Linked DNA regions of Tamandua tetradactyla. The protein of the gene in region 1 interacts with the protein of each later gene in a pairwise test. Links are inferred from orthologs where the notes say so. Each region holds a gene or a part of one and is shown on either strand. Other genes may lie near its edges. The genes, in order: VPS52, TBC1D22B, AIRIM and GOLGA1.

What was found.
Region 2: the proteins of VPS52 (region 1) and TBC1D22B interact in binary tests that used the Homo sapiens proteins (3 or more experiments, as listed by UniProt). The link is inferred for Tamandua tetradactyla from reciprocal best matches to the Homo sapiens genes VPS52 and TBC1D22B.
Region 3: the proteins of VPS52 (region 1) and AIRIM interact in binary tests that used the Homo sapiens proteins (3 or more experiments, as listed by UniProt). The two-hybrid records come from large-scale screens. The link is inferred for Tamandua tetradactyla from reciprocal best matches to the Homo sapiens genes VPS52 and AIRIM.
Region 4: the proteins of VPS52 (region 1) and GOLGA1 interact in binary tests that used the Homo sapiens proteins (3 or more experiments, as listed by UniProt). The two-hybrid records come from large-scale screens. The link is inferred for Tamandua tetradactyla from reciprocal best matches to the Homo sapiens genes VPS52 and GOLGA1.

What each region holds. Positions count from the first base shown.
Region 1 is NC_135331.1:89,201,937-89,209,090, forward strand, and holds the start of VPS52 (vacuolar protein sorting-associated protein 52 homolog), read right to left. Parts: upstream 3,003-7,154; 5' UTR 2,715-3,002; coding exon 2,625-2,714; intron 1,815-2,624; coding exon 1,730-1,814; intron 1,567-1,729; coding exon 1,514-1,566; intron 1,328-1,513; coding exon 1,252-1,327; intron 1,064-1,251; coding exon 996-1,063; intron 722-995; coding exon 546-721; intron 189-545; coding exon 38-188; intron 1-37. Other genes in the region: RPS18 (small ribosomal subunit protein uS13), read left to right, coding at 3,157-3,159, 3,620-3,718. UniProt on the Homo sapiens protein: Acts as a component of the GARP complex that is involved in retrograde transport from early and late endosomes to the trans-Golgi network (TGN).
Region 2 is NC_135331.1:94,153,325-94,161,072, reverse strand, and holds the start of TBC1D22B (TBC1 domain family member 22B), read right to left. Parts: upstream 3,013-7,748; 5' UTR 2,862-3,012; coding exon 2,806-2,861; intron 1-2,805. UniProt on the Homo sapiens protein: May act as a GTPase-activating protein for Rab family protein(s).
Region 3 is NC_135328.1:187,625,309-187,633,191, reverse strand, and holds the start of AIRIM (AFG2-interacting ribosome maturation factor), read right to left. Parts: upstream 3,015-7,883; 5' UTR 2,988-3,014; coding exon of another isoform or gene 2,859-2,987; 5' UTR 2,723-2,858; coding exon of another isoform or gene 2,626-2,722; 5' UTR 2,617-2,625; exon of another isoform or gene 2,606-2,616; intron 2,527-2,605; exon of another isoform or gene 2,308-2,526; 5' UTR 1,802-2,307; intron 1,627-1,801; exon of another isoform or gene 1,624-1,626; 5' UTR 1,621-1,623; coding exon 1,346-1,620; intron 1-1,345. Other genes in the region: CDCA8 (borealin), read left to right, coding at 2,626-2,722, 2,859-2,987, 5,190-5,230. UniProt on the Homo sapiens protein: Part of the 55LCC heterohexameric ATPase complex which is chromatin-associated and promotes replisome proteostasis to maintain replication fork progression and genome stability.
Region 4 is NC_135328.1:47,074,875-47,082,321, forward strand, and holds the start of GOLGA1 (golgin subfamily A member 1), read right to left. Parts: upstream 3,005-7,447; 5' UTR 2,888-3,004; intron 2,873-2,887; exon of another isoform or gene 2,447-2,872; intron 2,105-2,446; exon of another isoform or gene 2,055-2,104; intron 1,173-2,054; 5' UTR 1,007-1,172; coding exon 872-1,006; intron 1-871. UniProt on the Homo sapiens protein: Involved in vesicular trafficking at the Golgi apparatus level. Involved in endosome-to-Golgi trafficking. Mechanistically, captures transport vesicles arriving from endosomes via the protein TBC1D23.

The DNA.
Region 1 (7,154 bases):
TTCTAGCAGTCTCCAGGGAATCCACCCCAACTCCCACCTTGATCCGAAGCCGGTCAAGCACGCCTCTGACGTCTGCGCAGGCTGCCGTGCCCCTAGCCTCTTGCTCTCTGACTGCAGCTGCCTTGGCATCCAGTTCCTGCAGCTGCTCCAAGAACCTGGGCTCTGTCACTGGAGCCTCAAGAATTGCCCTGGACAGCAGGGAGAGGTGGGATGAGTTAGGAGGGAGACTCAGGAATCCCTAGACCAGATCCAGATTATAATCTTTATATCTAGCCTCTGTCTCATTTACCTTTTTATATGTACAAATTTTTCTGTTCCTGGATCCCCCATATAAGTCTTGGGCCTCCACACTACATATCTGACTTTGGACAACTCCCAATCTTTAAAGTCAAAACATGTATCAATATTAGAGTTGTCAACCTACACACCAACTTCTGATAGTCATTTGATGACCTAGATTGAGGAGACCTATTTGGTAAGTGGGTAGGTCATCCCAGCCCATCAACCTGCTATAGATACTGTGACCCTTGAAACTGGTGACTCACGTGACCAGAGTAGAAGGCACCACCAGACCATCGACAAGCTCCCCAAGTTTCCCTCGGACTGCCTGGCGGTTTCGAAGCCGAATGTTCATGGCTCCTGACTGTTCCTGCAGTGTCCGGATCTCAGAACTAATGGAGCTGAGGTCACTCTGAAAAGCTCCCAACATCTGTTCCATGCGCTAAGAGGGGGATGAAGATGTTTCTGGAGTGCCACAGGGTTTTAATTGGACAACCAGGACACTTAAGTCACTTGATGAAGTCCCCAGATGATGAAGAGGTACCCCAAAGGTCACAAAGAAAAAACATTAACTCTGACAGTAAGAACAAAAAAGGTTGTGGAGGTCATCCTGAAAGTAACTAACCTGTTCCCACCTGAGTCCAATAACCCAGGGAATGGCACCAGAGGCTATGGTCTAGTTTTGAGTTATGAGGAGTGAGGTCATGGTTACTAACCTCAAGAACAGCATCACAAGCCGTGATCTGGTTGTGCAGAGATGCTATGTTCTCACTCTCTTGAATATCTGACCCAGAAAAAGTCAAGGGTCCTCATGGAAAAGATGGAAAATCCTCAGACTTGCAGGACCTCTCCAATTTCCTCAAGGTGACAGAAACCTCAAGGAGAAGATCTCAGTCCTGGCTGGGCTGTCTGGAACACACCCTGCAAATCCCAATGTCAATAACACTACCCCTTAACTCTGCTGGAGGATACAATCTCGAATGGATTTCTGTTCAATCTGCTGTAGCTCCAGTTCAACCTGCTTTGAATAGTGACGGAGATCCACACCCTGGGAGAACATAAAGATAACTGGTCAGGAGAAAATCATATCAAAGGAACATTGGCACAAAATCAATGAAGAACTGGAGGGTGAGTCATCAGGGTGATGTTATGAGAGAAGAAGGGTTGTTTTCTTTTTCTTTTTTCTGGGGGAAGGGTAGGTAGAGGGGCAGATCAGTACAGTGGAAAGCCTCACCGTTTTAAGAGCTTCCTTTACTAACTCATCTTCCAGGTTTGCCTGAATGTGAACTGGAAACAGAAGTTTATCATAAAGGGCCTAACTCCATAGCTCCCTCTCCCAATCCTGAGAATCTGCGTACCAATCCTTGCCTTATTCCTTCCAGTCCCCATGCCTCTCAGGTTCTACACATGCTGACTTTCAGTTCCACATCCACCTCATGCCATCTCTTACCATCCACTTCATCCAGGATGAACTCATCCGAGGTAATGTCCAACTCCCCAAGTTGCAGTGGTTCCTGAAGCCCAGGACCACCCCCCTGGAGAGGGACAAGTTAACGGGAGATGGTACAGAAAGAAATATATATATAATACAAGTACATCCCCAACTCCCCATGTGGAGGGAAAAGCCTTCTACTGAAGAGCCATAAGTGCTGAGTCAAAGAATTTCAAGAGTCTAACACATTATCCCATCTATTACTTGGAGCTGATGGATCGGGAACATAACAAAGGAGGCAGACACATGACAGGCTGGAGGTGTCTGAGTGAACAAAATTAGGAGTTGCGGAGCACTCCTTGCAGATGAATTTAGATGGACCCCTGCCATCTCGGATATTCTATCACAACCCCTTTGGGGAGCCTCAGACTTTCTAAAAATGTCAGCAAGCAACATGCCAGATGCCACTGTTCATTGATCTAATCCTCCCGACAACCTATACCGTAGGTAACATTATTTTCTTCACTATATAGGTTTGGAAAGTAATAACACAGAGAAGCTAGTTAATTTGCCCACAGATACACAGCGTGTGTCAGAGCTGGAATTCGAACCCCGGTAGTCTGGCTCCCGAGATCACGCTCTTATCCTTTACACTATACACAAATTAGAATTGCTTCTCTATTTTGCCCCAAAATCTGAAAGGAAGTTGAAATTGTGCCCCCAAAACCAGAGTCTTGCCATTCTGTTCCCCGCTCAGGTCTGATCCCAGGTACTGGTTATAGGCAGCTGAATAGGTGGTGTCACCATTAGCAGCCAATATCCCACCCTTGTGCCTAAACCCACCCTAGGTCTTTCTGATGCGAGGGCAGCTGTAAGGCGCCCGGGAAGGGAAAACAGCCCCGAGCTCTCTCACCAGCAGGCCCTCCTCCTCCTCCGTATCCGCAGCACCCGCCCGCAAAACCAGTTCTCGGGCGGCTGCTGCCATGGTCGCAGCCGCGGCCATTCCGCGCAGCCTCACTTCCGGCAGCTGTCAGTCTCTGCAAGTCCGTTCCCGGGAACTGAACTACCAGTCGCAGAATGTCTGTCACAGCGCGAGACCGTTCCTAGATATTTAAGTTAAATTGTTTTACTCCAGCCTTCCCTTTCAGTTATAGTCACTTCAGCCATGCGTAAATGGGAGTGCGGAAGTCTTCAAGACAATCTCACTCCGGAACCTTCGCTACTGCCACAGCCAAAAACTTTACGGACTGTAAAGAGGAGACCGCACCGGAAGTTTTGACCCTCAAGCCAACCACTCAGAGGTCGAGTCTCCTGGTGCGGGGAAGTTTCCGGAAGTGTTTCTCCCAGTTAGCTCCACCCTTCCGCCTAATAGCTATATAAGTATATTGTGTCACTTCCGCTCTCTCTTCCACAGAGGCCTACACGCCGCTGTTTCTGTTGCAGCCATGGTAAGCTTGGAATTCGTGCCCGGATCCGATAACATCGGAACCAGGGCAGGGAAGATCTGCTCTCAGAGGACCGAGAACACCTCAACCTAGGGGACTGCAGCTTTGTGTGGAGCCTTGGATCGCTTCCCTGGGAAGGGACGACCAGAGACTTCCAATTCTAGAGAGCGGGGCCCAGTGAAGGGTCGCTCCCCGGGGGCACGAAAGCGGCGAAAAGCTTGGGCGTGTGGGTAACCTCCGTGTCCGCCACGCGGAGTGTACTTTTGGGAACGAGGAGGGGACCTGAACTTGTTCTTGTTTGCAGGACTGAGGAGTTTGCTGTGTTGTGAATCTGAATGGGGGAGGTCGTTGCTCCCTCTGTGACAATCTTAACATTTTTGTTTGAAGTTTTTCGTTCGTCTTAGGTGCCTTAATGTGATCCTAGTCATGGTGTCTGACTTCTCCCCCAATCTCTTTCAATCAGTCTCTAGTGATCCCTGAGAAGTTCCAGCACATTTTGCGAGTACTCAACACCAACATCGATGGGCGCCGGAAAATAGCCTTTGCCATCACTGCCATTAAGGTAAAGTAGGGTAAGGAGTAGGGAATATAAGTGCAACTTGGGTTGTTAGATCTCAGGAGGCATGGTTGAGGAGATCCAGATCATGCTGGCTGCTGGATTAAGAAAAGAAGCAGTTAAGTGAGGGACTAATACTCTTAGCAGGAACCAGCAATGTTAAGACAGGGTAGTTTGAGGTCAAGCCAGAATGTTTCACCTGGTGGATGGGGGTATGATTGTCTGCTTGAAATTGCTAGAGTTTCTTCAGGCATTTCCTGAGCTTTTGGCTAATGAGATCCATGCTAGATTTAGTTCACTTTTAATCCCCAACTGCATCATATCAACAACTGTTACTATTAAATAAGTGTGCTCTGAAAATTGGATAATTCTCATACATCTTGAGTGAGTAGAGATGTCAACAATGTCAAGTGTGAAGAAACCTAATTTAGGGGGCAGGAGAGGTGTCACTAGTCCTGAGAGGGACATTTTACAAAACTCAGATGCCAGAGGTAAAAATAAATGCTGCTTTTCAGCTCAGGTGGGAGGCGCAAGAAATGGTTAAGTACAAGCGGAGACATTCTGCCTATCATTTTCACTAAAATTTGTAATTGTGGAAATAGCTGAGTGTCTTCCTAGCCTACCAGTATATGTATACTCCATGGGGTCAGGGCACGGCCTGTGTTCACAATCCCCAGGTTCTAGGGTATTGCAGGTTCTCATTCAATATTAGGGAATGGGTGGTACTAGGGAAACTTGCCTGATTTCAAGGAATTTCAATTGGCTAATAATTCAAAGAGGGGATACAATTTAAAGTTGTGAGTCCTAGCTTTGACGTACAAAGTCCTGCAAGATCCCTTGATTTTTTTTTCCATCTTTCTTTCGATATTTGTAATAACTTTTTATTTGATATTTTGAGAATACACACAGTTTTGATAGTTAATAAAATGGTGTTCAAGATAGTGTTTAGTATTTAGAATTTAAGAAACTCTGATATCTGTATCCATAGATTCTTTTCCTCCCTTGCTTCAGTTTTAAATTGGGTTATGGAACACACTGTACAAACAGGCTTTAGAGTGATTACTTAATTTTTTTTTTAAATATGCCTATGGATAAGCTAACTAAGATATCCATTTTAGGTGGTTAAGATTTCCATATGTTAATTGTAAAAATATTTGTATCTTCTTATTTTCCTGAAATCATGAAAAGATTTAGTTACATAGGTTATTGCTATGGCAATATAGATATTTGTGAGAACTCTACTTGATACTTTGAGGACATTCACAGTTTTGACAGCTGATCAAATGGTAACTAAGTTAGTGTTTAATACTTAGAATTTAAGAACTTTGTTGTCTGAATTTGTAGTTCATTTGTTCTTTAATATAGAAGCTTAAGTTCTTTCTATTTGACATTCTGTGAAACTAGTAAGGCAGTGTTGGCTGCAGGAACTATTGCAGTTGCGGGGGCAGCTTAAGTGAGATAGTGAATGTGAGCGGGGGCAGCTTAAGTGAGATAGTGAATGTGAAAAGTGGGCGTGGTTGGCAGGAACACTGTTAGCCCTGTCCTCTGCCTCTTTGAAATTGACTGATACTGTATTTGTTACTTCTGTTAAATGTGTATCATAACGTTTGTAGTCGATTTAGATGCGTGGAAAAACTGAATTTAACCAAGGCAGTTTCAGTTACTTAGGAGAGCCTGTGATGAGATGGATCATGCTCAGTGAATACTGAGGAAAAGCATCTAGCCTTGTGAGAAAACTAAAGGTTCGAGGTGCTCCTTTACAGGTCTGGGAAGGGTGGTGTAATACTTGGAAACTGGAAAAAAAGGTTGAGTAAGAAAAGGGATGAGTATGGGGAAGAATTCCTCAGAGAAGTTAAAGAAAGGAGTAGAGAGCAAGATTAGCCAGGGAAGGGTGAAGAATGTAAATATTTAAATGTAAAGAGAACAAACTCCCACAGATGCACCATTTAGCTAAAAATTTTAAATCTTGTTTCATCTATACCCCTACCCATATTCCATGTTGAAGCAAGTCTCAGATAATAATCTTTTATTGGTAAATATTTCAGAAAATTTGAGAGTGACTTAAAGACCCTAAACTCTTGTGAAGCAACCTCTTGATAATTTGGTTTCCTCAGTCACTTAACAGAGAGGAAATATCCATTCGTTTCCTTGGACTGCCATAACAAATTACCTCAGATTGGTGGCTTGAAACAACCAATTCTCAACAGTTCTGGAGGTCAGAAGCCTGACATCGAGGTGTGTCAGGAGGACCATACTCCCTCTGAAGACTATAGAGAATGCTGCTTCCTCATAGTTTCTGGTGATTGCTGACAATCCTTGGCATTTCCTGGCCTATAGCTACAACTCTGAACTCTGCCTGTTACATGACTTTCCCTTGTGTCCTCTCACAGTAATCCAGTGTGAGCTCTTCTTAACTGATTATATCAGCAAATACCCTGTTTCCAAATAGGTCACATTTTGAGGTCTTGGGTGGGTGTAAATGTGGGGCCTGTGCTGTTAAAGCTGATACACCATCCTTCACTTTCTACATCTCTTGGTTCATGAATTGGGGTGGTGGGACACCTGTGCTGGTGTTGGTGTCATGGCACCAGTGTAAGCATTAGTTTCTTTTGAGTTTGATTTGAGTAGGTAGTTCCCAAGGGCCTGGTCATCTCTGGACAAATGACAATGGTGATGTTGGAAGACTTTGATCATGGGGATCCAGTGACCTGCAAAAAGAATTTTGTTTCTTTTTTTAATTCAAGAGTAATGTGACTTTATTTAGAATAACAATAATCATCTAATCAGTAATCATTGGCTCTGTAACAGGTCTAAAGATGTTCAAAACTTTGAAGTCCAAAAAATATATAGTAAGAATATACAAGGAAGCAAAAATAGAAAAACAGTAAGTTTGCCAAGTATTGGGAGTTATAACAGGAGGAACGGAATCCAAATTATAAAGCATATAGCAACAAGTTTGCTTTGTCTACTCTCTAGAAAATAAGTTGGTAACTTTAGTAACGTATCACCAACTTTAACTGTCACCATTTTGTCAACAGGACAAGCTTCCTGAAGGACACAAGGAGTAATTTGTTAGATTTTCTTTAATTTCTCTATTCACATCAATTTCTTTCATTTAAGATGGATTTGGTCTCACTGAAAAAATAATCTTATTTTTGTTAAATATAATACTGAAAAAATAAACAGAAATGGGTGGAAAATCCTAGGATTTACTGTGACCTAGCCAATCAAAAGTAGCCTCATTGTCTTTTTGGGTATCACTCCACCCATTTACTTGTGGAGTGAGCTATAAGGTTCCAGGATGAGAATCTGGTTTCCAGCAGTGTCCATGGCTGAAGGACAAACTCAGAAGGTATCCTCTTGGGAAACTGGAACACAATCTTTGAGTAGCCCTTTGCATACATTATCCTATAGAGCTCATAAGCCATACTACCCAGAAGGA
Region 2 (7,748 bases), about 5.0 Mb from region 1:
TAGATTAGTGGTTACCAGGTGCTGGAAGGAAGGAGTAATGGGAAGTGACTGCTAAGAGGCATGCATTTCTTTCTGCGGTGATGGAAATGTTTTGAAATTAGTGGTGATGGATGCCCAGCACTATGAATACCCTTAAAAAAGCAATGAATTGTACACTGTAAAAGGGTTTTATGGTATGTGAATTTCATCCTATTAAAACTGTTATTTTTTTTTTAATAAAAGAGCATTTATTTCAAACAGAGTCAGGAGGTTATCCTGGAGGTTATTCTTATACATTATATAGATATTCTGTTGTAGTTTATGGTGAACTGGAGTGGCTAGAAGGACCTGAAACTGCTGAGCTGTGTTCCAGTAGCCCTGTTTCTTGAAGACTGTATAACTATATAGCATTTACAACGTGACCATGTGATTGTGAAAACTTTGTGTCTGATGCTCCCTTTATCCAGGATATGGACAGATGAGTAAAAGAATAAGGATAAAAAATATATAAATAATAGGGGGGATAAAGGGTAAAAATTGGGTAGATCAAAATATATTAGTTGTCAATGAGACGGAGGAGTAAGGGCTGTGAGATGAGTTCTTTTTTTCTCCTTTTTATTTCTTTTTCTGGAGTGATGCAAATGTTCTAAATATGATCATGGTGAAGAATACACAATTATATGATATCGTGAGCCCTTGATTGTATAATATGGTTAGACTGTATGTGTGTAAATATTTCTCAATGAAAAAACGAGGCATTTAATTAATTTTGAACCTAGGTTATTTTAACTAAATAAAATTCCTATTGTTGTCATTAAGGTCTCTAGATCCTGATCAAAGAAACTGAAAGTTTCTGAAACTTTCTGAAGTACCCTGCCATCACTTTGATTTTTTACCTTTCAATCTGCAGAGTAAACTAGTCTCACTTCTAGAGTGTCATGATCTTAGCATACAGCCATTTGTTTCATTTCTCCACACAGGAGAAAGGTTTTTTTCACTAAAACTGAAAGAGTACAGATGTAAAGTTCTTAAATCAAAGCACCTTTCTATCTAAAAGAACCTTAATTGTCTACCATAAACAGGGGTGTCTGGGGCTTCCCTGCTAAAAGCTCAGACCTGAACAATGTTTCTCTTCAACAAACAAGGCATCAAAAAATCTTATGAAGTGTGGCAACAATTTAATACCTTAAGAATAAACAATAAACCCTAATACTAGGGTAAGAACTTGAGAAACAAGCTTTTAAGTTTACTTGCTCTAACAGTAACAGCAATTTTAATAATTACTATTTATTAAGCAACTGTAATATGCTATATAAACTCTCTCCTAGATTCTTTACAAATACAGTATTTCATTTAGTCTTCACAATAACTCTGAGGAAGTTACTGTTATCCTCATGTCACAGATAAGAAAACCGAGGTCTAGAGAAATTAAGTATTTGTCCTTGGTGGCACAGGTAAATAAGAGACGAGGTCTTTTTTAAATCAAATGGTCTACTCTATTCCTCTACATTCCTCTTTAAAGTGAAAAAAGAAGTCAGAAACTTGAAGAAATTTAATAAAGACTCTTCTTTCTATCTCACAAAAGCAGTGCTTTCAAAAAGTTGACTGTTCCTATAGTCCAAAAGAGGAAGTGTGGAAAACAAAAGATCATTAATAGCAACCAGCAGTCAGTAGGCACAAAAGACCATGCCATGTCCAAAGCTCATATACTCCTTCCTGATTTAACAGTTTTCCCTTTAATTCTGATTACTATCTGAGGATGTCAAATTTTAATGATCTTACTATGGAAAACCCCAGAGAACAGAAGTTAGCACAACTGGAGAGCTCACCAGATCAGGAAGGAAAAGGAATCAGTTGGCAGGAAGTGGTGCTTATCTAAAAACATCAAAAGTCTTTAGCACTAATATTAACACTGTAATTCCACAGCATTACAATCCGAAGTTATCTTTGCATTATTTTAATAATGTATTACTAAAAGTTGATTCCCATCCTATTCGCTATAGGTCTAACAAGATCCTAATAAAATCAGACTGCTACATAGTCATCACTGGCCCTCATTTCTCTCGTTAAAAAGGCACAAATTCGAAAAAAAGTAGTTTAGAAGGTCTGCTCTCCAACTAAACTGAGGAATGAAAGAATTCAGAATTAGTACGTTTGCACACGAATATTACCACGCAGGGAGGAGGGTGGTCTGTAGGCAATGGACAAAAACCTGAAAAATGCCGGGAAAAAAAAAAAAGCCCCGATTCTAGGGTCACCTTGTAATAATTCCTAATGGAAAAGGGCCGACTTGAGATAAAGTACGGTCGGGTTGGAGGATTTTCCTCACTTTTTTTGTCCCTTACAGGCAGCCCGAGCTCCTACCAGAACCTTTTACGAGTCCAGGAGAAAGATTCAAACGTGTGGAACTGGGAGAATAAGGGAAGGGGCTATCCTCAACGCAAGCAACCACCTGTGCAAGGTGACGACCCCCGGAAGGGAATTCTGTTCAAAGTGGGAAGCAGCCCTGGGATGGTCATCCGAACCCAGGGCCGACACTGGCTATTCATCAAACTCCACTTCCCCTTACACCCGGTCTGCTCTGAGGGCAGGCACCCCCTTGGAGACCTCCGCCCCAAGACCCCTGTCTGCCCCCACACTCAGCCGTTTCCCAACTCCTCTGCCTGACAGCAGACCTGCCTCCCCCCGGCAGCCCCCGCCCCCCTAGAGCGGGTTTCCCCAGCCAGCCTTCCCGGCTCGGGGGCGCCCCAGGCCCGCGGGATTTAGGGCTTAGCATCTGGAGAGGTTTGATCCAATCCCCTCTCCGTTTCAGGGTCCTGGGCTCACCTCCCCGGCAGCTTGGCGCTCCTCTTCCAAAACTGCTTGCTGTTCTCGGCGGCCATGGCTCCAGCCCGGGGAAAGCGCTGTAGGCGGGCCTAGCTGGGGGACCCGGCCAGACGCCCCCAGACCCGGCAACCGGAGGGCCAACCCAGGCCGCTTCCCCGCCGCCGGTCACCCGCACCCAGCGCCAGGGAGCGCCATCTTGGATGTGGGCGCCCCTCCACCCAGCGCCGCTGCCATTGGTGGGCTGCAGAGGCCGTGGACGCACGGACCAATCGGGAGCCCGAATCCTGCATGCCCCTGAAGGCGATCGGCCACGTCATGAGCCGGGCATACAGGTGGACGGGGAAGGCGGAGCGTGAACAGGCAAGAAGGCGGGGCTGAAAGTTGCTACCTCCGGGAAGGGAGGAGAAGCAGGTAAAGAAAGGGACCTATGAGAAAGATGAAGGGTTCCGTTTTCTTAGGGAGAAATTAGGTCTCTCGTGTTTCTGAGTCTTATATATATATATGTTTTTAAGAGAGAGCGTGATCTGTATGTATGTATACATATAAAAAATCTTCGACCTAAAAGTCAAGGACTCATGTGTTGATTATGGCCCATTTTTAACATCTCCCGACTCAGTAACACTGTGATTATTATCTTCCCCTTCCAGGTTCTGTTTGGATCCCGCTTATTTATCTGTAAAGTAGAGTCAGTACGGATCCAATAACTGAGTTAACTGTTCTACACGTGAGTAACGGTTATTTTATCAGTCACCCTGGCCTCTGTTAATTGCACTGTGAAAGGAATTTGTTGTAGATGAAATTCGAATGATTTAATCCCTGTTTCAATCAATAATTCTGATTTTCTGACTATGAGAATCTAGATACTAAAAAACAGTGTTTAGGGAATGTTCTTATTTTATCCATCCAATTCAGACTACCACATACTATTTCTTAAGAGGACATAGTATCCCTCTATAGTGTAAATCACAAAGAATAAGGATGTAACCCCAAACATCCTTAATTTCCCTTTTAGTCTAGTATAAATCATTCACCCTTGAATTTATTTTCAATCTGATTTTGACTTAGAATAAGATTTAATATTATCATTTTGAATCTTTTGAATGTCTTCTTGGTGGTTTTGCTTTTTTTTGAGTTTCCCTGGTTGTATACCATGGGAATATTTACATGATGAAGGGAGGTCCAGAGTAGTTTTTGGAGTATGTATTGGAGTATACTTAACGACCTCCTGTCTAAAGAAGGACCTTCTTTTATATGTTTTCAATGGCCACTTTCTACATAGACTTTATCCCCAATGCCAAGCTTCTTTTGACCCCTAATTTTAGAATTATGGGTTTGTATGAAAAGGGCTATTTTTAGTCTCCTGAATCGTTCATGCTTTTACAGACTTTCATCTTATCTTCTCTCAACTAGCACCTTTATGGGCCTTAAATCCATTAAACAAAACCACCTCTGTCTTTTAAATCACTTTAGCCGCCTTTCTATGGCTCTTTTTCTTAGGATGCCGTGGCCAGCACTGCACAGTGAGCCCCCAAATGGGTGGATTTTTGTTGAAGCTGATGTTATCTCTTTATTCTGGACATCCAGAAACTTTGCTGGCATTTTTGGACTTTAGAAGAGTTAATGTCCTGGTGGAATAATCTACGGCGACTTCTAGATTCCTTTCCTTGGTGGTACCTGGCAGTTCAGAGTTCATAACATTAAATATATCATCTGAATTGTCTTTTCTTACGTACACTGCCTTACACTTGTCCACATGGCAAGACACTTGCCACTTTCCAGCATCCTCACATTGCATTAGAAATGTCCCAGAAGATGTCCCTATTGACTTGACATTTCACTAGGCAGAAAGCAGAATATAATTTGTGTGCCTATGTCTCAAAGTATTTCTTTTTCTTAATCATTTATGAAATGTTAAATAACACTGATTCCCAAGGGATGCTATTAATATTGTTCAACACAAAGAAGCTCTGTTATTCTTACTCTGTTTTCTACATCTGTTCTAGTTTGCTATCTGCCGGAATGCAATATACCAGAAATGGAATGGCTTTTAAAAGGGGAATTTAATAAGTTGCTGGTTTACAGTTCTAAGGCCGGGAAAATGTCCCAATTAAAATAAGTCTATAGAAATGTCCAATCTAAGGCATCCAGGGAGAGATACCTTGGTTCAAGAAGGCTGATGAAGTTCAGGGTTTCTCTCTCAAGTGAGAAGGCACATGACGAACACAGTCAAGGTTTTTCTCTCAGCTGGAAGGGCACATGGCAAACACGGCGTCATGCTAACTTTCTCTCCTGGCTTCCGTTTACATGAAGCTCCCCGGGAGACATTTTCCTTCTTCATCTCCAAAGGTTGCTGGCTTGTTGACTCTCTGCTTCGTGGTGCTGCAGCATTCTCTGCTCTCTCCAAATCTCTCATTCTCCGAAATATTTCCTCTATTATAGGACTCCAGTAAACCAGTCAAGACCCACCCAATGGGTGGAGACATGTCGTTACCTAATCCAGTTTAACAAGCACTCCTGATTTAATCACATCTCCAGGGAGATGATCTGATTACAGTTTCAAACATACAGTATTGAATAGGGACTATTCTGCCTTTACAAAATGGGATTTAGATTAAAACATGGCTTTTCTAGGGGCCATACATCCTTTCAAAGCAGCACATTGTCCGTACACATTTTTGGTTGGGAATTGTTAGAGAAAGCATGTCGCCTAATAGGACGTGTCCATTTTACCAAAGATCCTATAAGCTTGAGTAAACCTTTGGTTGAAGAACCATCTTCCTCTCTTGGGAAACACAATCTTCTTCAAACTCTTTTGCAGCTTCAGAAGAATATACTGGAGTGATATAAGAAGGAGACCACCTACCTACCCAGGACTCAAATCTACACTGTATATCAAAGATTATTTGTTTGTTGTCTGTCTCCATCTCCTGCAGCCAAATTCACACCAAACATTGCCCAGCTAGAGGTGAAAATTACTGGTTTAATGTTCCCAAGGTGTCCTTGGAGCCTTTTTGATGGAAGATTTTTTTTTTTGTATGCTGTGTGGTGGGGGTCACATTTCATTCCTTTTTCAGTGTGAATGTCCCATTATTGCAGCACCATTTGTTGATTTGGGGGGGTGGGGGGTGGGGGAGCACTGCATAAGCCAGAAATCAAATCTGGGTCTCCCGCATGGCGGGCAAGAATTCTACCACTGAACCACACTTGCACTCCCTTGATGGAGGTTCTTAGTGGCAGACATATATGTTCACTAGACCAATGCTTCTCATAATTTAATGTACATACAGATCACCTGGGACCTTATTAAAAGTCTAGTTCTAATTCAGTAGGTCTTGGCTGGAGCCTACAATTCTGCATTTCTCCAGAATTCCCAGATGACACTCATGCTGCTGAACTGTGGCCCTCACTTTGTAGATCTTCTCTTAATAGCTCTGTGATCTTTGAATTTGTCTGAAGTGTTTAATTATTTTGAAACCAAGTCAAGGACTCTCCTTAACCTCATCTTCATTCATAATAAGAATTAAACAACTTAGAATGGAGCAAAGTGGAGTTAAGGGAATGAACTGTGCAGGGTTTGTACTAAAAAGAGGTCGTATTTCCCAACGCTTAGGGAAAGTTTTATGTAAGAGATGGGACATGCAGGAAAAGAAAGAGAACAGCCTGAAGAACAGTAGAGAGGTCATTTCAGAGCAGATGCTCCGTGAGGAAAATAATAAGAGAGAATAAAAGCCTTTAGACTTAATAACAAAGAGTGCTGGTGGACTTTAACCTCAGTAAAAGAATGAAGTGGAAGGATGTAGACACTGTGATGACAGGAAGGGTTAAGAAATTAGGCAAGAAACAGCCCTCATAATGCACTGTAGAATGTTGCACCAACAAAGGAATGGTGAGATCAAGCTGGGATTTAAGGATAAGAGAGCTTTTTTGGTATCTAACCAACTAGAAAAAGCCAAATGAAAGAAATCAGTCATATTGGAGAAGGCAAAGGGATATACGAAAATCTGAAGAAGCAAGAATTTACTGAAATAAAGAAGGGAAGACAGAGTGATTAGAGCTTGGGATGTGGGTGAAAGAAAGATTAGGTACTTTGTTCTTAGGAATTTATTATATTAAGTCAAAAGGAGGGGGGAAAGCTCTGTGCATAAAGAAGTTCTGCACCTTATAACCAATAATAAATAGTGTGTATGTGGGGGGGGGAATATAATATTAAGATTTAAACATGAGGTTGTGGTTATACAAATTATGGTATGTGGTTTATAAATTTGATGAGCATATTGTGCCATGAAAAAGTGTTGAAATAATGAATTGTAACAAATGGAGCACACTAATGCAAGGTGTATATGGGAACTCTATTTTATGCATGATTTTTTTCTTCAAACCTTCAACTTCTCTAATAATTATATTTAAAAATGTTGAAAGCTACGTAGCACGTGGAAAAGGATTATAGTGTGATGTAAAGAGAGGAGACTGCAGAATGCAAAATACCATTGCTTGATTTCAATAAAAATACATTGAAATGTATGGTCAAAGACTGGAAGAAACATGGGAAATTAAGCAATTTTTGTTAGATGGTAGAATTATAGATCTTTTTCTTCTGGAGATTTTCTTTAATACTGCCATAGTTTTTATTATTGTGAAATATATCAGTTATGCAATGAACCAGGGGTTGGCAAGCTTGTTTATAAAGGGCCAGATAGTAAATATTTTAGATTCTGCAGGATATGCAATCTCTGTTGCAAGTCCTTAACTCTGCCATTGTAGCATAAAAACAACCATAGACAATAGGTTAATGAATGAGCATGGCCGTGTTGCAATAAAATGGCATTTATGGACATTGAAATTTGAATTTCATATAATTTTCACATCACAAAATATTGCTCTTCTGTCCATTTTTTTTCAACAATTTTAAAATGTAAAGACCATTCTTAGCTCATGGCCCATAT
Region 3 (7,883 bases), on another chromosome or scaffold:
TAAGATGTTCAACATCATTAGCCACCAGGGAAATGCAAATCAAAACCACAATGAGATACCGCATCCCACCCACTAGAATGGCTAATATTTTAAAAGTCACTAGAATGGCTACTATTTAAAAAGTGGAAGATTACAAGTGTTGGAGGGGATGTGGAGACTCAGGCACTGTTGGTGGAAAAGTAAAATGATGCAGCCATGTGGAAGAGAGCCTGGCGGGTTCCTTAGAAAGTTAAGTATAGAACTACCAAATGACCAAGTGGCAATCCCACTTCTATTTAAGACTGAAAACAAGGACTCGAACGGGTATTTGCACACTAATGTTAACAGTGGTATTATTCACAAATGCCAAAAGATGGAAGTAACAAGATGAATGAATAACAAAATGTGGTATATATACAATATTGTGAAAAAGAAATGAAAATCTGATGTATGGCACAACATGGATGAACATTTAAGACATCATGTTAAGTGAAATAAGTCAGACACAAAAGAACAAATATTGTATGATCTCACAGATGTGAAATAATTAGAATAAGCAAATTCAAAGTCAAAAGCTAGATTATAAGTGACCAGGGGACAGGATGGGGGTAGGGAAGGGAATCAGCGCTTAATGTGCAGTTTCTGTCTGGGATAATGGAAAAGTTTTGGTCATGGATGGTAGTGACGGTAGCACAATACTGTGAACTCATTTAATAGTACTAAATTATGTACGTGAATGTGCTTAAAATGGGAAATTGTAGGTTGTATATATGTTACAAGAACAAAAATTTAAAACAACAATAATATGGGACCATATGATTCAAACAGTGAGCCTAATGTAAATCATGGACAATTTAACAACAGTACAATTGTAAAAATGTTCTTCCATCAATTGTAACAAATGTATCTCACTAATGCAAGGTGTAGAGTGGTACATGGAAACTGTATTTTATGTGTGATTCTTCTGTAGACCTACAACTTCTCTAATAAAAAAGACAGCATAAAACAAACAAAATAAGCCTTAGCTGTGACACCTACTAGGTTTACAGTATAGCTCCTCGTTGCTTTTCATCAAAAAAACTATCAATTAGTGCTGATAAGCTTCCTCCACTCCTTTGATACCAGCTTTTCTGTTCCGCTTTTGTGACCTCAACTAATTTCACCACTACCATATTAGCCTCTGACAAGGAAAATGTCTGAAAATGGCTTTTTGACAAAGGTCCAGCTAAGCAGGCAGAAAAAGAAGGATGAGAATTCTCTAATGTCATACTCTCATGTAAGGAGATAAACACTCTCTGACAGGTGCTGGCTACTGATCAAACACCCAGATTCAAAATATTTCTGTGAAAAATTCTGAGCCTCTTACATCCTCTCCCCGAGCTTGTCCAGGACAGTGTCACCAGCCTCCAGCTGCTTGCGTCTCAGCCGCTCCTTCAAGTCCGGGAAGGCCCGGAGCGACGGCACCTCGTTAAACCGCAGATTCTGAGCGGCTTGTAGTTGCTCTGCCAAGTTGCTGAGGGAAGCCAGGAGGGGCTGGCAGTCCCTCAGAGTACTTTGCCACAAGCTGTGCTGCGCCTCCACCACGGGAAAGCACTTCTTCAGGGCCTCCTGCACAGCAAGAGATGCCCGGTCCTGAGTCATCTTCTGCTGAATACAAAAGCAAAAAACAGAAACAAACAACAACAAGTGTTAAGGTCCCAAGTCAGAATGGGGAGAACGGGGTCAAGGGTGGGAATTATTTCGTCCTCCTGTGAGGTCAAGCTCTTGGCTTCCACCCTCCAACCAGGGGGTTCCTCACGCAGGTCTGTCTATCCCTTCAGACCTGAGCTCCCGGCGCGAAGCGTTGTCTTTCCTTCACAAAGGGCTCTGGGAAGAGTCCCTTTTGTTTGTCACCTCGAGCAGGGTTTCCCGACTATCTCTCAGAGGTAGGTCAATCTCCTGGCTCAGAATGCGGGTTCCCGGGGCAGAAACTCTGTATTCCCCTCAGACCGATGCTCCCGGATCCGGAATCTTATCTCCCCTCCTTGAAGCTGCCTACCCCTTTCCCTAAACCAGGGGGAAAAAACCTAAAATTAAGACAACCAAAGATACGGCAGCCGATGGGACAGCCACCGCGCGCTCGCGTCCTTCTGCACCCGCCCCAAAGCGACCTCCCCGAGAGCGCCTCACTAGACCACCTGGTCTTGCGAGCCGCGGACGAGCGTCGTCGGCCCGCAATGACTTCTGGGTGTTGTAGTCCCGGGCGCGGACTGGCCGCCGGATACTGGAGCTTCCTGGTGATTGGATGTTGTGGGACCTTTCTAAGACGGCGACTCCTCATTCGTTAACCTGGGGAAGTTGGATTTGAATTTGGTGGCGGCGATTGTAGGTCCGGTTCGCTTCAGAGCCAGTCCGTCTCAGCCGGAGCGAGCAGGTTTACCTCTGCCCTTGTTTGGGGACCCGCAGGTTCGTGCTTTGCTTCTTCTTTAAGCCCGGGCCCGGAAGGGAGGGAATCCCCTTTACTGACTCCCTTGGGACGCTATCCGGCCTCCCCCCCCCCCACCCCTCCGCCCCGTCGCGGCCCCCTTATTTCCCCTCTCTCTACTGCCCCACTAACCTCTTGTGACTCGGTCCCCCCTCCCCGTAGCCTCCACCCACCGAAACGTCATGGCTCCTGCGAGGAAGGGCAGCAGACGAACCACCAAGACCAACTCTTTGAGGAGCCGGAAGCTCGCCTCCTTTCTCAAGGATTTCGACCGCGAAGGTAAGGGGCACAGCCGGGTGGTCGCGGCTTCCCGGGCGATGGCTGGGCCCTGGTGGGTTGGGGAGCAGGGAGCAAGATTCCAGGCCCCTTTCACCCGCCGGGTGACCCGTATCCTGTTGATTCTGTCCTCTCGCAGTGCAAATGCGATCCAAGCAGATTCAGTCAGACAGGCAGAACCTCCTCAAAGAGATGGATAACTTGTACAACATCGAGATCTTGCGGCTCCCTAAGGCCCTGCGCGAGATGAATTGGCTGGACTACTTCGGTAAGAGCTGCTGGAATGGCCCTAGGCTTTGGCCTGGATCCCCTTGTGGTTACCGTGACAGGCTTTATAAAGGACTAGCTCGAACGTCATCCTCGTAGTGAAGTCTTCCCTGACAGCAGTTGAAAACTGCAGCCCTCCTGCCCAGCGCCTCTTTATTTTTCTCCATAGCACTTATTACCATCTAATCCATGAGTAGGCAGACTTTTTCCATTAAGAGCCAGATAGTAAATATTTTAGACTTTGTAGGCCAGAAGGTTCTCTGGCGACTACTCAATTTTGGTATTTTACCTCCAAAGCAGCTATAAGGAATGCACGTGACTGTGTTCCACAAAAAAATTTATGGATACTGAAATTTGAATGTCACATAACTTTCAAGTGTCATGAAATATTATTCTTCTTTTGACATTTTTTTCCAACCATTTTAAAATGTAGAAAGCATTCGCAGCTTGCAGTCCATACCAAAATAGACAGGAGCAGTTTGCTGACCCCTGATTTAGTCTAATATATATTTTCTGTATTTATTTTTGTTGGTTACATATCCTTTCACCCTACAACCAGGATTGTAAATCCATAAGGGCAGAGTAAGAATTTTGTCTGTTTCATCTGTAGCCAGAAGAGGAGCTGACAAGTACTAGGTGCTCAATACATATTTGTTAAATGATTAAATGAAAAACTTGGTTTGTTATTAGAGCCCAGGTAGAGGGATAACCCCTAGGCAGTGCTTCCTGCAGATTATGAAAACCGCCAGTTTAAAAATGGCCAAGTCAAATTGTGTAGTACAAGAACCTGAGACTTTTCCTGGCCAGAGGAAAATCTGTCTTTTCCCCACTGCCTTGTTAAAAGTCTAAGGAAATGCAGGAGGCTGCCCTTTGTGCTAAGTTATCCTTAATTTTTCCTCTATTCTTAATTACCCAGTAGGTAGCCTCCTTGGATAGAAATGCAGGTTCTGTGTATGCAGTAGACATGTAATGATCCTTTTAGCTTACTCTTTTAGTCATTTGCTCATTTCTACAAATACTCATTGAGCAGGTATCTGTCAAAATGCTAGGTGCTGAAAAGTGCATTGAGGAATAAAACACACTTGTCCCTGCCCTCAGGAACTGATGTTAGTGGAGTAGGGTCATTTAAAAGTTCACACACTTATTATATAATTAAAATTGAGTGGCAGTCAGTAAGCACATTTGTCATGTTTACTATGTCACACAGGCATTATACCATATGTTTTACGTATGTTTACTAGATTTATCCTCATAACAAACTTATTGATTATAAGCCTATTAATTATTAATATTATCTCTTTTAAGGCACAGAGAGATTAGTTACTTTGCTTAAGGGCTCATAAGCTAGTTAGTGGCAGAATATTTGAACCCAGACATTCTGATTCCGAAGTCTGAGTTCTTAACTGTTATATAGGAAGAATGCTATGAGAGTTTCTAGCAGGAGGGCCCATCCTAACTTATATTCTCTTTCTAAATCTTTGAAAGATCTCTTTGTTAAGCAAATATTTGCTGCACACTTAACATATTCCAGATTTTTGCCAGATACTATGAAAATATTATTTTTGTCCTCAAGGAATTCACAGCCCAAAGCAAAGTTAGATACTGAACAACTTCGAGTAGTTGTTGTGGAGGAAAAGGGTGAGCAACTAACTTAGCTCTTTGTAGCACCCTGCTTTATAGAAACATAAGCTAAAATTTAGGGAAAAGGTAGACCTGAGTTCAAATTTCAGTTCTTTCATATACCAGCTCTGTGATCCTGGTCAAGTTGCTTAGTCTCTTTAGCCTCAGTTTCCGTATCTGTAGAGTAGGGATTTGAGATTGAGTGAAGCATGGTAGGTGGATTGTTTGATACATAGGACAACTTTCTGAAGTGATGACATTTGACCTGAGTTTTAAGGATGAATTAGGAGTTTGCTGGGTTCAGAGAAGTACTGCAGGCAGAGGAAATAATAAGTATCAAGGCACTAAGTCATGAGCGACAGTGGCACATTTGGGAAATGAGAAGCTTAATGTGGTGGAACACAGAGTAGGTCATAATGAATAGGAGGAGAAGTCAAGGTTGGAGAAAGATTAGATTGTAAAGGTTCTTGAATTCTGGCCCAAGGGTTTAATCATGTCCAGTTTTAGAAATAACTGATAGTGTTAGGGAAGGTGAGTTATTGTTAAAATCTGATAGTAACTAAATAAAATGTTCTGTTTAAAGCCCTTGGAGGAAACAAGCAGGCCTTAGAAGAGGCAGCAACGGTAAGTAACCGCTCCTATTTTTTAATTGTTGGTTAGTTTTATCCTTAGTCTAGTCATAAAATCCAACCAATGGTTGCTTGTTGTGGAAGAGATCCATAGGGAACATTATCTGTTCATGTCAACTGAAAAATTGTAGTATCAGATGCTGAGTACATGAAGTCCGAATAGTTCTGAGTTCTGAGTTATAGAACAGATTTTATCATTCCTGCCGTAACTACTACTCTGATATTTGTATGTGCTCTGTGAGGAAAGGACTTGGAATCATGCCTGCTCTTGGCTATACCCATACATACAGGTAGTTACCACTGTGAGCAAATTTAATTAGAATGGCCACTGGAAGCCTTTTTGAAGAAGGCTTCTCATGATAATTGAGAGTCTCAAGACTTGCCAAGAGTGAGAAGTATGACACAGGACCAGGTATTGTAGAGGATCGTTAGGAACTTGTATTGAATATTGAAGCAATGTAAACAAGGATAACCACTTTGAAAAGCAATTTGGCATAATATCAAGGCTGAACCCTTGAATAATCTACAACCCTGTACTGCCCTATCCTTAAGTATATAGCCAAGAGAAAACGTGGATGTGTGCTCCAGAGACATATATAAGACAGTTCAAGGTAGCAGTATTTATAGTAGCAAAAAACTATCGATGGGAGAATGAATAAATCCCTTGTGATATAGTCACACAAACTGTTATATTGCACTGAAAAGAGATTAGCTACAACCACAAATGCAGTCAAAAACAAGCAAAGCAAACAAAATACTTTTTAAGCATGCAAACATTTGGAAAAAATATTAAGTGCATATATAATGTTTGTTGCATATACATACATACATACTCATATGCACATAACACACGTATTTATTTATTTTTATCTTTTAAAGAAAAGGTATTCTATTATTTACTCTCTGAAATAGTCCTGTAAGAACAATATGCACCAAGTTTATTTGAAAGGATTAGCTTCCTTTCAAATACAAGAACTATTTAAAGCAATACTGTAAACAAACTGGTCACATCACATATCTATAGTGCAGGTTTAAGAGCTGCAAATATATAGTTTTTAATCTTAAAGCTAGATATTTTCATTGAAACACAGTGTTTTTACATAGACAAGGTATTGCTAGAAAAGAATTTTTGTTCAGGCTTTATAGGAATGAATCAGTGATATGTTCCACTGAATTAGTGTCTTTATCTGCTTTGATGACAATGGCTGTAGGTAGAAGTGCTTCTGTTTAGCCACCAAAAAGAGACACTCTTGTTCCTTAGCTTTATTCTTCAGTCTTAAGGTTTATTTCTCATACTATATCTGAATCATAGCTAATATTTTCCAGTTTAATTCGAAGAATACTGTAACACATACAGACCAAATTGAGACAGCTTAGAATTCAGAGATCTTAATAATAGAGTACAGAAGAGAAATTATGTGTATGACAAAGGGATAAAAAAATTATTGGCAATCTTAAGCATACCAAACTAATTTTCCTACTCAAAAACTTCTTTTTTTTCTTTTGGCTTTGAAAGGAAAACACTAGTTTCGAGATGGGTTTGGTCTTAGACTTAGTGAGACAAAATAAAAGATATGTTGTTTCATAAGTCACAAAATGACAGTATACATTCCTCTTTTTTTTTTGGAAAAAAGCTCAGTAATCAATACTGGAGAAAATAATTTTCAGTAGTAACAGTATATATAAATAGAGAGGGGAAATGGACTTATTTTAGCATATTGTTATGACTTTCAAGAAACATAAACTTAAATTTACAGAAAATTGGAAGACCAAGTATAAGCAGTGTGGCATTTGCTTCAGTGTCTGGCACTATCATAATGAGTTCTAGCATAAAAGCAACAAGTTCATGGACCTCAAGTATGAGTTTTATAGTTTACAACTACTGTCCTTGTTTCTTTGAAAAATACCTTTACCAGTATTTGTGGTTTAGCTCCAAGAAGTCGTTTAATTTTGCTCTTTCCTTGAAGTACTGAGTTAATTTTAAAAGTTCTGTCTTTATCTCGATTTAGGTGAGCTTTCATAAAAGGTCTTATCTTTAGCTCATTCTATGGGATTCATTAGAACGTTTCTTCCTATGTCATCAAACGTAATGGTGTTTTTTTTTACTGTAAAATCCAAAAACTTAACACCAAGAGGTTTTATGTCGATTAATCCTCTCCTTGAGTATGTACTGTTGACATAGCAGCACTGTCCAACTTGAAGATAATCTTACAGTTTGCATTTTGCTTACTCCCAGTTCTTTCATTTTAGTTTCAATCCACTTCATATTTGTGGCAGGCCAAATAACAATGTCATAACCCTCATATTCAGGTGTTAGGAATTCTTGAAGATAGGGCCGCATTAATTCTAACCTAGTCTCTACACAAGACCTGTGGCCAAATAATGTATAATCAACAGCTAATACCAAAAGCTTTTTCCCTTCCCTGGAGAGGATTCAGAACTTCCACTTTGTATTCTTTAACTCTGCAAGAAATTTTCAGCAGGATTTCTTTCTTATTTTCTACTTCAACTACTTCATCTTCAATATCCAAGTCAATGACATGATCATCCTTGTCAGGTGGTGGACCTCAGACATCTTCCAAGCTCTCCTCACGAGTTCCCATCATCATGATTTCAGTATTTCGTTTCCGTTTGAGAGCTCCAAACGT
Region 4 (7,447 bases), on another chromosome or scaffold:
TCAGTTAAAAAAAAAAAGCAACTCCAAGAAGACTACCTATGATATAATGCTCTTATAAAGTTCAAAAATTAGCAGCACTAAGCAATAAATTGTTAAAAAGGAAGTGAATAATACACACAAACTTTAGGATAGTGGTTATCCACAGAGATGGGAAGGAGAGAATGAATTAAGAAAGAACATACAGTAGCTTCAAGAGTATTGATAATGTTCTATTTCTTCAGATGGGTGAAGATTAACAGGACTTCATTTAATTTTTATGCTTTATACTCTATATATACATTGTATACATTCTTTTATATTTATCAGGCATTTTTTTAAGTCATCTGATTTAAGAGGATCCCGCCACATGCCAAACACACTTTAATCCTTAGGCATGACAGTTCCCTAATACAGCAGCCTCCTCATTTTCTGGAATCTCTCCAACCACAAGGGTACTTTAAAAATAAGAGACACGTGGTCATCCATGACATCTTTGACAAATTTCTATCTACTTTCCCAATAAGACAGTACACGCTGGCTAACCTCATACCACAACTCATAGACCTAGTTAAGTAGGGAGAAAACAAGTCCAGGCATTTTGAAAGATTAAATGTAAAAGAAGATGCACAAAGCATATTGATGGAAAAGAACTATAAGAGGACAGCGTAGAGAATGTGGAAAGGGACTCACAGAAAAATAAGAAAATGATATAGAAAGGCACCCCAGAGAAAGAAAAAGCACATGTGAAGGTCTTGTTCAGCTATAAACTACAAAAGCTATGAAATAATCATGCAATTTAAAAAGAAAATATTTCAAAAATTTCCTGCAATATTATTTAAACATTAAATTGAGAGGGCACCAAATACTCAAAACTACCAGGGAAGATACTTACAAAGTCATCTCCTGAGTCAGCTCCCAGAGAGGCAACAGATTCCTTGCTCACCGACCGGGGGATCCTAGTAGCACCTCCTGGTCTCTGAGCAACAGCACTCTCTTCTGCGATTTTCTTTTTTAGTTTTGCAAACATCTTTGCTATGTGGATATTCTGCACTATAGACTGGCTCTTGAACCACCAAATAGTCCTTAAGGCCAACAACCAGGATTCAGTGACAGGTGCCTAAAAAGTTCCAGACATCGGAGCCAGCTGCATTCCCATTTAAATGTGTGTAAAAGGGCTTATGGCAATACAGTATCTAGAAATCAGATGAAAGAGACAACTCTAAGTTAAACATTGGAAAGATTTCAACCTCTGAAATCTGTTTCATATTTATGTTAACCTTCAGGTTTCAAAATTTAGTCTCATAACTTCACATGTACTCTTAATAGACCACAAATACTAAACATTTAAAAAAGCACTCTGGTACTTCATATGCATACAAAGATACGGAAATCCAGTCTTAGAGAGATGAAGTAATCCACCCAAGATCATGTAGCTAAGTGGCAGAGCTGGTATCTGAATCCAGGTCTTTCTGACTTACAAGTCCCTATTCTTTTTTTTTTTTTAAATAATTATTATTATTGAAAATAATAATAAAATGGCATGTTGGCTATAGCATACAGCTATAGCATTTATAGAATTTCCCACGATAAACATAGCATCACATAACGCTTTTAAATCCTTCCCTCAATAAAACTAATTTGTTTAATTACACTTTGGTGCCTTTTTTAAAAGATGAGAATAAAAATATATGTAACTCAATATGGGGAAAAGCCTCTGTAACAGAGGCTAACAACCTAGAAAAAAGCATGGTCGATTTTGCATAGGTATCAGAAATCCCTAAACTTTTCTTGGAAATGTTGAGTGGTGCTCTTTTGAGTTTGATGAAATTAACCCAAATCACACTTTTCTTTTCTTCAGAATGTTTGAAATAATATTTAACATCAGATTAATGCATCTTTTCCTCCCACTGATGTATAAAACACTACTATTCTTGCTTCAATCTTAATTTTTCATGAAGGTTGTCTAGGTTCTGCTCTAAGATCTACAAATGATTTTTCACCCCTTTAGATCATCCACTTAAGTCTGTGCAATTTTTCAAAACTTGACCTTCAATGTCTGTAAACCACCTACTCACCTAGCTTATCTACTAGATTTAAAACAGCCTGGAAGTCAAAGCATTCTGTCCTGCGTGAAAACAAAGACAAAATACGTTGGATATTTCCTTTCAAGTGTGAGGCCTCAGTATTTGGGGATGGTGGGAAGAGGGAGAGTGGGTTAAGGGGGAAAAAATCCTGTCATTACCACCTTCAGTAGTCTAACCTCCCTTACCCTAGTCTCTTTGCATTTTTAATTTTCTTAAAAGCTACACTTATGGTACAAAGAATCTCTCACTGCAGTAGGTCCCTAAATTCACTTCTCGTTGGGAGCCCTGAGCAAAACAACTTGAAAGAGATTAAGGTTTCCCAGCTGATTCTGACAGTCATACATCATTTACCTGGCCAGACCCTGGGATATATGGTCACTGACCTTTGACTCGCACTAAGAAAGCCGCTGAAAAAAATGGCAAACTTGGGTAAACCAAATGCCCAGAGAGGCAGGCAGGTAGGTACCTGACCAGGGCCACCCGTAGCAGTTTGAATCACACTCCTTCACTCTCTGGAAACCCGCCAGGGTTTGGGGCTGTCAAACAAGGCTGGGGCCCAAAGCCTCTTCCTTTTGACAGCAGGGAAACTGAGGCCCAGAGAGGCGGAGTGACTTGTCCAAGGTCGCGCAGGGAGAATCCTGGATCCCGAGGCTCTGGACGCCCAGGCCGAGGCAGCCCGCCGACACCACCCTCGCCCTTTCAGCACCCTGGTAAGGCCCCCTGCCCAGGGTCTCGGGCACCCCGTCCGGACCGCTCTGGCGGCAAACCGAGGCCACAGGGCAAAAGAGGGGCCTGCTCGGTACCCGGAGCCCCCGCCTGCGCACCTGCCACTGTTGGGGCAGCCGACAAAGCCCCGCCTCCCGGGCCTCTCTTGAGCGCGGGACCGCGTCACCAGCCCCCACAGCCAGCCGGCCGGCCGAGCAGCGACCCGGAACCGCACCTCCACCAGAACACCGGAAGTCGTTGCTCGCGCATGCGCTCGTGCACTTACTCCGGGGCCTTGGGTGCGAACTTTCAAGCGACGGTTGGGCCGGAACGGCCGGACTATGCAGGTTTGGTATCTGACGCTGCTTACAGCCTGCAAGCGACGTCAGCGAGCTGTGGGGTACACAGATTACGATTGTTGCCGAGTAATTTCTTCCCTTCTTTTTATTTGAAAGTTGTGCGGAGCGAGGAAAGTATGAGGGTCTCGTGGTAAAAGGGAAAGAATTTCACTGGTGTGGTAGGGCTAAAGTCGGCTGTGCTGGATAGAAATCCGGGGCAACAGGGAGCTTCCATTCCATTCCTCTTCGCGCATCCCAGTCCACTGCATCTCACATGTCTGCCTTGTCACTAGGTAGTACATAATCACCGACTGTCTGTGCCTCCTTCTTCTGGAGCCTTTGCTCCAGAAACTAGTAGTGGGAACTTGCGCCTTGTACTAGTGTTTTAACTTGTGTGCTTCTGACCTACTATAGGTTGTACATTTTATATGGCAACCCGGAACACACATAGTGTATACCTTTATTATGTAATGCACTGATACACTATTAAAAAGAGAAGTGGATGAGAGTCCACTTCATTAATTTTATTATCCACTTAATTGTTCGAAGTTACACTGCAAACTAGTAGCGGACGTGAGATCTGACTCCTCAGTGCCACGCCAAGCATTACAAGTTAATAGACATCTTGTTCTTGCGTGAGACCTAAAGCCAGTCCGAGGGTCAGCAGCTTCCACCTCTGGCCTCTGCTTGTTCATTTCTGAGCACTAGAAGCAGGACAGGGAAAAATCAAGACCAGGACTCAGAAGAAATTTACAAACTAGAATAATAAGCATCTAATCCACAACCCTAAGATAGTTCAAAGCATCTCAAGTATTGTCTGAAAGAAGCACACCATAACAGGTAAGTGTCTAAGTCGTCAACAATACTGAAGTACCAAAAATTTAAGCAAAACTGTTTATTTTTATGTTGATGATACACTTATATATGTGGATTCAAGATACAAAATTCATTTACAACAGTTCACATCTGATGAATGTAGTCACATTCCAAGAGAACATTTATCAATGCAAAAATGACTTCAATACACTGACAACAAAAATCAAATGTTGTATAATTTGTTATTCATTAAACCTCAAAACAATTTTTAACTTTCCATCCTCTAATATAAAGCGCCCTTGAGGTGGCAGGCACTATACAACAGAAGAAAACATTGGAAAGACAAGGGCCTACTGAATCTGCTCTGCAGAAACAGTGTTGACTCTGAAATTCATTTAGTAGTTACTGAAAGGCTGCTGTCCTTTGTTACATATCACATATCATACAAAAGTTGAAACTGATGAGCTCCAGAAAACAAAATGATTCAATAACTTCTCAATATCTAAAACCTATTAAGAATTAACCATAACAAAGCAGAAAAAGGCTACTGTAAAGGAACAAAACAGGAAACATCCTTGTTTAAGAGTATGTACGGTTTAAGCAAATTAGAAACAGGAGACAAGATTTTACAATACCACAAATGTTCAAGTCAAATGCTATTGCCAATATAATTTCCCCTTTAGTCAACAGTAGTAAATAGCTCCTTCAAAGTTTATCCTACTGATTAATAACATGTATAAAAATGACTGAATCCAAATGGTTTGCTGTCTAACAGAGCTGAGTTGATGGATTTTGTTCTAAAGTATTAACCCACAGTGTTCAAATTTTAATACAAATGAGCAACAAGGTAATGTCAAGGTAATATTACAGTGATTGGCAAGAGCTGGATCTAAACAACCAAGCTTCATTATTTGCACTACAGATTAGCAGCACTTGGATAAGAACTGTTAAGAGAAAATGATTGTGCTTCAGTCTCTTGAGGAGAACTAATGTAACTCTATAATCCTTAAAGTATTACATCTCAGTTACAGACAAGCACAATTTTTAAAAAAGTATTTCACACCACCAGAAAATCAAGGAACTATATCCTCCAAATGTAATTTCTGCTATGATTTAAACAAGTGCATTTCTGCCTGATATCCACAAGGTACAAATGGGTTGCCATTATTTTCAAGGAAAAAGAGTTCAAGCATAACTTATTTTAACTCCTATTGATTATCCTAACCTTTGGTGATGATTTGTATAAAGCAAAACAGTACTCAACCTTACGGTGAAAATGGCTCAGAGATAATAGTAATGTGGCCTGAAATTAAAATAATCAGTGCAAAATACAAAATGACTTAAATTGCATCATGTGATTCACTGATTAATGAAACCACTGTCTACACTGATGCTACATAATGAATATAACTTATTTAAATAAATTCCTTCACTGATAAGCTGTATTATGAAAATGTTAGGACACTGCATCTGCCTTTCCTATTATCTAACACCTGTCTACCTCATCTGGAAGAATCCTCAAAAATATAGGACTCTGATTGTTGAATAGAAAAGTTTATTTCAAAACAAAAAGCATTTGGAGAACTAACCATATGGTCTATGTGGCAAAAGGAATGCATCCAGATAACTATAAAAAACCATGAAAATCAAGTTCTAAAATATTTTACTGATCATTAGAAGTTCTTTTAAATGATGTTATAATAAAGAATCAAGAGTAAAAACCAACTTATTCTTCAAGAAATAGTAATAAAAATTCTTATTGCCCTAAAACATTTTAAACATTTTTCCCTGAAGATTTTTAATACATCACAATACATACTTCTAATTTAGAAAAAAATTAATAATGTGCAAAAGAGGATGGGATTCTTTTAAAATACAGTGGTCATTCCTCTATGTTTTGGAATTATTTACTTTGGGTTCATATACGATCATTTCACATTTTACAATGGTTGATCATACTGATTTGATGTTTGAGGAAATTTATGGTTCAAGTTATAATGTTTACAAATCTCAATTTTCAGCTGTGAACAAATAGACATTCATAAGAGCTTCAAAACAGGATATTTAAGTAAAAAGACAAAATGTTAAAGTTTACTGAAGTTCTGTGGAAAGGCTAGCCTTAATTCCTTATCTTACTCAGAAATTGAAACAATCAGTTTATCAACTTTTATTCTGTAAGACTACCTGAAAAGAAAAAAATTTTTTTTTAAATCTGACCCCTGAAATAACTTATGTTATGTCTCAATAAACAATTAGCCATACCTAAAAGGATGACTGTCTTAGGATATAGACGGCTATTGTTCATTTAAAATAGGAAAAATACTCCCAATTTATAGTCAATTCTAGCACCAAATTCAGGTTTAACTAAGTGGATCTGGAGTGTATACTTAATACAGTGTACTTCAAACTATTTAAAAGTCCTGAATCTACTGTTTGACTTTGTTAAAACTTGCACTACTTAGAGTAGTTTGATAACTAACTTTAAAAGCACAGAAGAAAATAAAAATATTATAAAATTAAGAAATGGATGTTTAAATCAAGTTAAGTAACAATGTTTTGTAGAAATGGAAGTCTTCTTAAAAATCAATATTACACAAAACTAGTAAGTGAAAAATGCCTATTTTAACGAAAAAAAAATTTCATGTCTACAGCTATGGCAACAACAGATTAAGTTATACTTAATATTATCCCCCTACATCATTCTGATACTCTTCTCTTCTAGGTGACTGATTTCAGTCACACATCAATGATCTTTTCATAAACACAAGACATGCTTAAATAGATCTCTGTGTTCAAAACTTAATGAGGCTAGGATATGGTGTAATATTATGTTTTACAATTCTGGTTTTGGAGAAGATGAATTGTTTGAAAAAAAATGCAAAATGCACATAGTATTCAGGAAAACTGGGAAGCCCAGCAAAATAAATATAAATATCAATGTATAAGTATACAGGAGATATAATAAAGGAGGGAAAGTCTTGATTTTCTAATTCTTATCTCATCTGACTACAAAGTAACTGGCTTTACAAATGCTAGGGTTGGAGATCATATTCACAATGTTAGCCTTATCTACTGAACTTTTTTACTGCTGCCACTCTCCTGAAATTAATGTGCACACTGATGCTAAGTCAATTTAATTAATTTTTAATAGCATAACATATCCTCTGTTACTCTCTAATTGCAATAAATTTTTAATTAAAAAACAGAATATCAGACCCTGGGATGTTTTCACTGATTTTTCAGAAATAGTACATTATCAACATTTAAGAAAATGCTATTATAAATTTTATTTTAAATTTATTATTGTAATTTATAAGTGTTATGAGTTAGTGGCTGTTTTGTTAAAAAAAAGTAGAGTCGAATCTAACATTTTTGAGGTAGTAAAACTCACTCCTTAATCTCACTACTCTATTTTAAAATAATTTAATAATTGGGCCAGATATATTTAATATTCTTAAGAATAATGGGGTAAAAAGTTGCTTTGCTGTTATACGTTATCACAAAAAATTTTCCAGCTTAATTTCT